Linked DNA regions of Oryzias latipes. The protein of the gene in region 2 purifies or fractionates together with the protein of the main gene of each other region. This does not show direct contact. Links are inferred from orthologs where the notes say so. Each region holds a gene or a part of one and is shown on either strand. Other genes may lie near its edges.

Region 1 (3,655 bases), on a different chromosome or scaffold from region 2:
TGAGATTTTCGGATAGGAAGGGGAGACAAGGAGCCCGCTTGGCGAGCGCGGAGCGCAGAGGCGTGTTTGTTTGTTTTGGAAGGAAACTTCTGACGCGCGCGCCGCGCTGAGGCACGCGCTTTTCGGTCGCCGCTGCTTTATTTTAGTTGTGTGTGTTTTTAACCAGCCCTGTTATTCCCATAACGCTGCCGCGACACAAGCGGAAGGAGAGCTGTTCCCGTTCACCCTCCATGCACTGCTGCTCCTTGCTCATTCTTAAACACGTACAACAGTGTGACGAGCCGGGCGTTGGCCCCGCCTTTAGCCCCTAAGACTCATGGGAAATGGGGGATCGCGGATGTAAATTTCCTCATCATAACTGAGGGATGTAATGTTGATTACATGGTTACTGTTTGTAATTTTATGTATGATACCTAGATTGTCAATAAGTAAAAAAAAAAAAAAAAAAAAAAACATAACTGAGAAACTTGTGAACAGAATAGAGGTCCATGCTGTTAGGCAGATGTGGGTGTATTCAAATAAATGAGCCTGAGGCAAGGCTGGCCCCTGCCACAGAGTTATTACTGAGTCACACTTATCCTAGGAATCAGGATGTGATTTGTCAGGATGATCATGCTGCCTAATACATGCGGCTTGTACTCTAATGCGGCTTGTGTATGTACAAAACTAGTTAAACACGTTAAAATGGGTGGGTGCGGCTTGTAATCGGGTGCGCTGTATAGTCCGGAATTTACGGTATATATCTATAGATGGAGATATATCTAGAGATAGATAGATATATATATATATAGATATAGATATAGAGATATAGATATTAATTAGGGATGTGTGATATTTGTAACCAATATTAAAATAACCAAATGACTTGCTGTATATGAGCAAATGGCAAAAAACAAAAACACTGACACATCATTTCGATTTCCCTGCAGCAGTTTTATTTAGATTAGATTTGATTTGATTTGCTTTGTTATTGTCTGTTGTACAATGAAATTGAAGCATCGCCATTTCAGTGCAAGAATAGCAAGGAATAACTATATGTAATATTAAATAATCAGTATATACAAGTGGACAAATATAAACTGTAATAAAGAATGTCTGAAATTTGTGTGCAAAATTGTGAAACTGAAAATGCACACAATTTGTGTGCATTTTATGTTTACTTTTTTAAACAAAAGTAAGCATAAAATGTTCTCCATATGAACCTCATCTACATAAGATTCAGGCATCTAACATAGAAGGACCCCGTCTGATTGGTCAAATATGAAAAATTAGAAAAATATTTGATTCATTAGATACTTGAAGCTGCCATGAGATTGTATTACTGTGTGTAAATATTTAAGGTAATCCTTTATCGCCGTGTTTTGGGAAATGCGTAGCGCACAGGCTTGATGTAGCGATAACATTTGTGATTGATCCAAATAGGAACTTTATGGATTCAGACAGTAGCAGGTTGTACGATGGACTGAGTTTTACGATGGACTAGTGCTTTTGTCTTTGTTACTGGGTATTTTTATTTGTTACAGTTTGTTTAAATGATCAGCACTCTGACTGGTTAAGTATAAATAACCCTAAATAGAAGTTGAAAACCAGATAAGGGTTACAATGCAAAAAAACAACCAAGTAATGTTTTTTCTTAGTGTCAACTAAAACCTGCTATTTGATGTTATTTCTATACATTGTATTTCTCCAGTGATAAACCCGTCCTGCGTGTCTTGTCGACCCATGACTCCTGCTGGGAAGGAGAGGCCCGTAGGAGAAGAGTTCATGCGGTTTTTACCCATGTTCTTGTCTGACAATCCAAACCCCAAGTGTGGAAAAGGGTAATGGATCCTCCCTGAAAACACAAACGCGTTCTGTGATCCTCGCCGGTTCTTGCTGTAATGTTTTTCATGCGTGCCTCTGCAGTGGTCATGCAGCTTATGCCACAGCAGTGGACCTGAAACCCAACGACGGCGGCGTGGGAGCCACGTACTTCATGACCTACCACACCATCCTGAAGGACTCTCCAGACTTCATCAATGCCCTGAAAATGGGTCGAGTCCTGGCAGAAAACATCAGTCAGTCCATCAACCACAAGGCTTTTGCCTACAGGTTAGTTTGGTTGGATTGAATGAAATGAATTCCATTTCCCCGTCGGCATAGCAGGTTTTGCTCACTAAGCTGCTAATCGTTTTTCCTTATTCCCGTTTTCCCTTTGCAGCGTCTTCTACGTGTTCTACGAGCAGTACCTCACCATCGCCTACGACACGGCGCTGAACCTCGGCGTGTCGCTGGCCGCCATATTCGTGGTGACCACGGTGCTGTTGGGCTTCGAGGTGTGGTCCGCTCTGATGGTCAGCATCACGATCGCCATGATCCTGGTGAACATGTTCGGGGTCATGTGGCTCTGGGACATCAGCCTCAACGCAGTGTCTCTGGTGAACTTGGTGATGGTAAGGAAACGGCGGGATGGACGGGGATCGCCGTGAGTCTGAGTTAGAATGAGAGTTTCAGTTTTTGGGGTTCGGTCTTGTCCGTTAGGATGATTCACCTGTTGAAATGGAACTAGGCCGTGTCTCACTGATGCAGTAAATGTGTGCTGCTGCCTCCTCTGTAGACTTGGCCTCCATCTTCTCTGCTCCAAGACTACCTTTGGTTCACTTTAAATTTACATAAATTGGTTGTTAAACTGTCAGCAATGTTAAACACTTTTAAAAAGGAGTTTTAAAAGTACTAAAATGGCACTCAGTCACACCTGCCCTAACAGGTGGATAAGAGCTGTCTGCAGGTGAAAAATGGGCATTCAGATGTTGGGTAAATTACTCTAAAAAGTAATTGATTACCTTTCTTAGTTACTGGATTAGAATTGTAATTAAATGATTCTACTTATTACCTATTGGAAAAAGTAATTCACCACTCATTACTTTACATTTCTTCCTCTCATATTCAGTTTCTCAAAGGGGAAAACAGCACAAACTAGACCCTCTTGTATTTCTTTTAACTTTATTTTTACACCAATGACCTTGTGCAAAGAATGAACCTGGTTCAAGACACAACCTGGTTTTATTATAGTTTACAGACGTTGCAACACATGTGGAGAAAAAATGTCATGTTTTCATGTTTTACGCTGTGCAGCTTAGAGAGAAAATAAAGTAAGAGAATGAATTAATAAATCTGTGCGTGCAGGCTTGCACGTACAGTAACTTTGTTCTTTTTATTACTTTTGTTTTGTTTCATTTAACCGAGACATTTTTACCCAAGTACTGCAGTAACGAGGGTTTCCATAGTCCAGTAATTAAATTTTTTATCTAAATTCGAACTGTATGTCGTTACGTTCCTCCGTTACTGACAAATGTACCGTAATTTCCGGACTACAAGCCGCTACTTTTTTCCTGCGCTTACAGCCCTGCGGCTTATTCAGTGACGCGGCTAATTTATGGATTTAATTAGCGGCCGCCATGTACGTACTTTCGAACTCAGTGAATAGTTTGTATTCTTTATCTAACACCAAGCACAAGACATTTATATTCAACACACCTCTAAGCAGCCAAACAGCATGGACTTGACTTCAGGTCTTAGACACTTCAGTCATGGTTCAACAAAATGAAACACGCATGCCCGGCCGCATCCCAGAATCCTTTGGGGCCATTAGACCCAACGTGCACGTGATCGCCGC
Region 2 (4,316 bases):
AAAGCAGAATCTCTATTTTTTACAAATTAAGGAATTTTAAGTTTTGAAACTTTACATTTTAAGGCTTCAAATAAGTTAGATTTACATTTTTGATTGTCAGATCTCCTACAAATAAAAATAAATTAAACTGTTTTTTATTTTGTTTTTCACACAACTTACCAAATTGTCTGCTTTGAAATGGTGGTATGTGGTTCAGAGTCTTTTATTTTGAAAGCCAGTTATGTAAACCTCTGTCTAAAGTATTTCATAATTTGAAAAGAAGGCTGTTTTCTCTTTATGTTTGTCTTATCTATGCAAAAAGAAAAATATATATTTATACTCATCATAATAGTACCAATAACATTATTGTCAATAAAAACTCATGTCTTATTTTTCTACAAGGTGAAATAAGACTTGTGGTTCCTGCCACTGGATTATAGTGCTCAGTGAGAAATTGGCCCAAATGGCTCTTAAGTGTTGAAGGTTGCAGACCCCTGCACCACAACAACTACCTCTAAAAACAAAGCACATGGAACATAAGTTTTCATTGAGAACATGTATAATTTCATCTGTCATTTGAAATCAATTTGGTTTTAACTATTTACCATAACAGCAAAAAGTAGGTTTCGTTGTCGCACAGCAGGCACAAAAAAACTGCTGAACCAGAAAACAACATCAGCAGAAACTAAAATCACGAGACAGTTGTTGGGAGATTTTTTTTTTAAACCACATAAGCTAACAGATTAGTTTACCTGTTAATTCAGTAATCTACTAACTAACAAACAACACAAATGCCTCAATAGTTTTCATTTGGATATGCTATGGACACTATCACTTATTAACTAATTTGAATAGTAATTTGCTACGTCTGTCTTTTAAAACGACTGGATTATGAACTCGTTATTAGTTATGTTTCTGTCCTTTTCTTAAGTGTATGATCATCAGGTTTTCAAAGTAAATATCATGTGCCGCAAAACAGAATGCCTCTTTTTGTTTTGTTTTTCCAGAGTGTTGGTTTCTTTCATTTTACACACCTTTTGGGTCGAAACTCACGCCTTGTTCGCCGCTCATGATGTAAGCAGCTGAAGAAAAGTCTATAATATTCGGTGAACCTTTTCACTGATCCTGGACTCTGTATGAATGGTCTGTCTACAGCGACCCTTGTCTTACTTCCTGTTATTCGTCGGACGACCCAAAAGTGCCATTTCGAAACAATGTTAAACATCGCGAAAAAAGCTTTAAAAAATAAAGAAAGAAACAAAACAGATGTACATTGAATTACACAGACAAATATAATATCATATTGTGAGTAAATATAAATATTTTATAAATTATTCGAAGCATGTACGTGTTTTCACTTGGTTTGTACAAATGATCTTAGAGGGGGTTTTGATACTGTGCTGGCAACTTTCTGTCGCCAGTTCGCCCCACGACGAAGTCTGCCTCTGATTGGTTAAAATGACCCATTCTTGCTGTCACGTGACAAGGAAGGAGGCATTCCACTTTTCCCTTATGGAGCAAGCCTTCTCACACATGTAGCGGGATTTGCAGCTGTCTGTGCCACCATGTCTTTTATTAAAGCCATTTTTAAGTTGCTCGTGTTGGCCTCCGTCGGCGTCCTGGTTGTGTTGGTGCTTCAGAACTGGATGGCCACAAAGGACTATGTTTTTAATAGAGACGATATTGCCAAGTTGGTCAAACAGTATGCAGGCGAGTCTGACAATCAGAATGAACGACATTTCACTCGCTTAACAGTTCTAAGTAACTGTAATTGGGTTAGAAAATGATGTTGACCTTTCTGCCATTAACACTTCATGGTGTTGAATTGTGCTATTTGTGTATGCATCTTTTTTTAGGGCAGGATCATGAACACGCCTTCACCAAAGTGGTGGTGGAGCTTAGGAAAAGGTAAAAGCGACTTGTTCTTGCACAAATCTCCTTGACTGTTTGTTAGGTCAGTTCACTTTCAGTTACTCAATTGTAGATTTTTTTTTTCAATTAACTGTCGTTTTGTGGGGGGTGGGGGGGGGTTGTATGAAAATACTTTGGTTTTGAACAAAACAATTATAATTTTTTTAAGTAAGATTTTTTAAATCGTCAGAAGAAATTATTATTGTTTTTGCTAAAACTATTATGCTGTAAAGACAATTAAATCAGCAAATTTCATCGTGTTCTACTTTTTTAAAATATGTTTTTCTACATTTTTGTCAACCAGATGAAAAAGGAAAGTTTAAATAAATCAAAGATATTGATACAGATTAAATAATCTCCGTTTATAGTAATGTATCATCTTTGAATAGTCAGCTAATATTATATTACGTAAATGTAAAGCTGCAGTTAACAAACATGTTTTCATGTATAAAAAAGGATTGTCTGTAGTTAAATTTCAGTAGTTTTCTGCTGTTAAGAGTTAACGCCATGTAATGTCAAATGTACGGTGGCCCTGAAATGCCAAAACCTAAAATTTCACAACAGCAATTTAAAAAGCAAAACATACTTTGCATTTTTCTCATTTTTACAGTGATCACTTTATTTTTTATTATTTATAGTCAGTCACCTTATTTGTTTGTCTTATTCTATTTTATTCCTTTTTTTATTGTGATCATTGTGATCTTTAATATTTTTGTGTGTTGAGTGATTTGTTGATGTGATTTTCACGTGTTTTTAATTGTAACATTTATCTCAATATTCTAGCTCTTGATAGAAACTTAATCTAAGTAACCTCTTCGGTTTTCCTTAATTAGATATCCCGGCCGCATCCTGCCTGATGAAGACTTGCAGTGGATTTTTGTTAATGCAGGAGGCTGGATGGGCTCCATGTGTCTTCTTCACGCCTCTTTGACAGAATACTTGCTGCTGTTTGGCACTGCAGTGGACACAAGCGGACATTCAGGTAAACAAGCAGTAAAGCGTCAAATCAGGATCAGATTAAAGTGGATCTAAAACCAGATCGTAAACTTGATAGTTTTAAACTCCAAATTACACATTTCAAAATTGAAGGAAATATTGAAAAATTGAAAAAATAAAAGTTTAAATTAGAAACTTGAAAGAAATATTGAAATTCTGGGGGGAAATTTGAAATTTGAATTGAAAAAATTGTTCATTTTTGTAACAGCTGGCATTTTGTATTATCGTTAGTTTTTCTGTTTCTTTTGTTTTTCCCTTTGAATCGTTTTTTTAAAGTTGACATTATAAGAGAACTGGGGGGTATTCCAAGAAGCATGTTTAAACACCAATTTTGCCACCTTAAATGAATTACTTCTATTGGTAACAAGTAATTGAGTTAAATTTATTCAACCTAATTTCTTACGTCTATAAAACTCAATAATTGTTTATACAACTCAAATTTACATATTTATTTAACTAAATCTCTTATTACTCCAATTCAATTAATAATTTTTCCATCCTAATGAATTATAATTCTTGAACTCTCAAATGTTTAAGTCTGAGCTGGCAGATATACTCATTTTTATAACAAGAAAAAGAACAAAACGATACACGCCTGGAGAATACATCCATTTAGAAATTTTCCGACATTGTCATTACAGCAATAGGCAGCAGGGGTGCTATATAAACTCATCATCCTCTCCCTCCCTTTCAGTCATGGTGCAGAGTAGGACAAAATAACTCAGCAAAACACAGTAAAACAGCTAAACAACTAAACACATTTGGTCAAAAACCCACACTTGAACCCAAATCCGTCCAGACAGGCAAAGGGAATGATATCCCAGAATCCCTTGTGGTGCCGATCTAACAGCAGCAGCAAAGTTACACCTACTTAATTGAATTCATTTGAATAAAAATAAAATAACTGTCTGAAAACTACGTGTTATTTTTAAACTGACTAAACAAAAAAATGATTTTTAATTATATTAACTGAAGCAAATAATTAAGTTACATCAACAAAGTTTATCTTTCCAACATCCATACGTGGTCTTATCACCCTCTCATAGTGGAAAAAGTATTATTTGAGCTTCTTCATCCACTAAATCATCTTCAAATGGACACGCCATGCTGCTTCACCTCTCTGAAAACAAACTAAGCTTCAACTAAACCTGCTCCAGACCAGGTTGTGTTCAGAGCATGAGTTGCCATGGCAACTTGACATACCCTGAAACATACCTCCATTTCTGGAACCGAAAGCTGAGGTTATCAACTTCCTTAGCCTCAAACTTACCGTGGGAGCTAGCATAACCTGCTTCCTGGAATACCCCCCAGGACTGAGTGGGTGAGACGTCACCCATAGAAAATGCCTTACTTCCGGCTCCAACTAAATGCAGCCAATTCAATCTGCATTTTTCCGCGATAAGAACGTCGCCATGTTGGAGCCAGACATC

The links.
Region 1: the proteins of sigmar1 (region 2) and npc1 purify together in Homo sapiens (affinity purification with mass spectrometry; 3 studies listed by BioGRID and IntAct, with this or other methods). This does not show direct contact. The link is inferred for Oryzias latipes from reciprocal best matches to the Homo sapiens genes SIGMAR1 and NPC1.

The regions. Positions count from the first base shown.
Region 1 is NC_019875.2:28,656,860-28,660,514, reverse strand, and holds part of npc1 (Niemann-Pick C1 protein), read left to right. Parts: intron 1-1,690; coding exon 1,691-1,820; intron 1,821-1,905; coding exon 1,906-2,091; intron 2,092-2,200; coding exon 2,201-2,432; intron 2,433-3,655. UniProt on the Homo sapiens protein: Intracellular cholesterol transporter which acts in concert with NPC2 and plays an important role in the egress of cholesterol from the endosomal/lysosomal compartment.
Region 2 is NC_019870.2:19,566,416-19,570,731, reverse strand, and holds the start of sigmar1 (sigma non-opioid intracellular receptor 1), read left to right. Parts: upstream 1-1,449; 5' UTR 1,450-1,544; coding exon 1,545-1,689; intron 1,690-1,835; coding exon 1,836-1,887; intron 1,888-2,723; coding exon 2,724-2,872; intron 2,873-4,316. Other genes in the region: galt (galactose-1-phosphate uridylyltransferase), read right to left, coding at 1,014-1,050. UniProt on the Homo sapiens protein: Functions in lipid transport from the endoplasmic reticulum and is involved in a wide array of cellular functions probably through regulation of the biogenesis of lipid microdomains at the plasma membrane.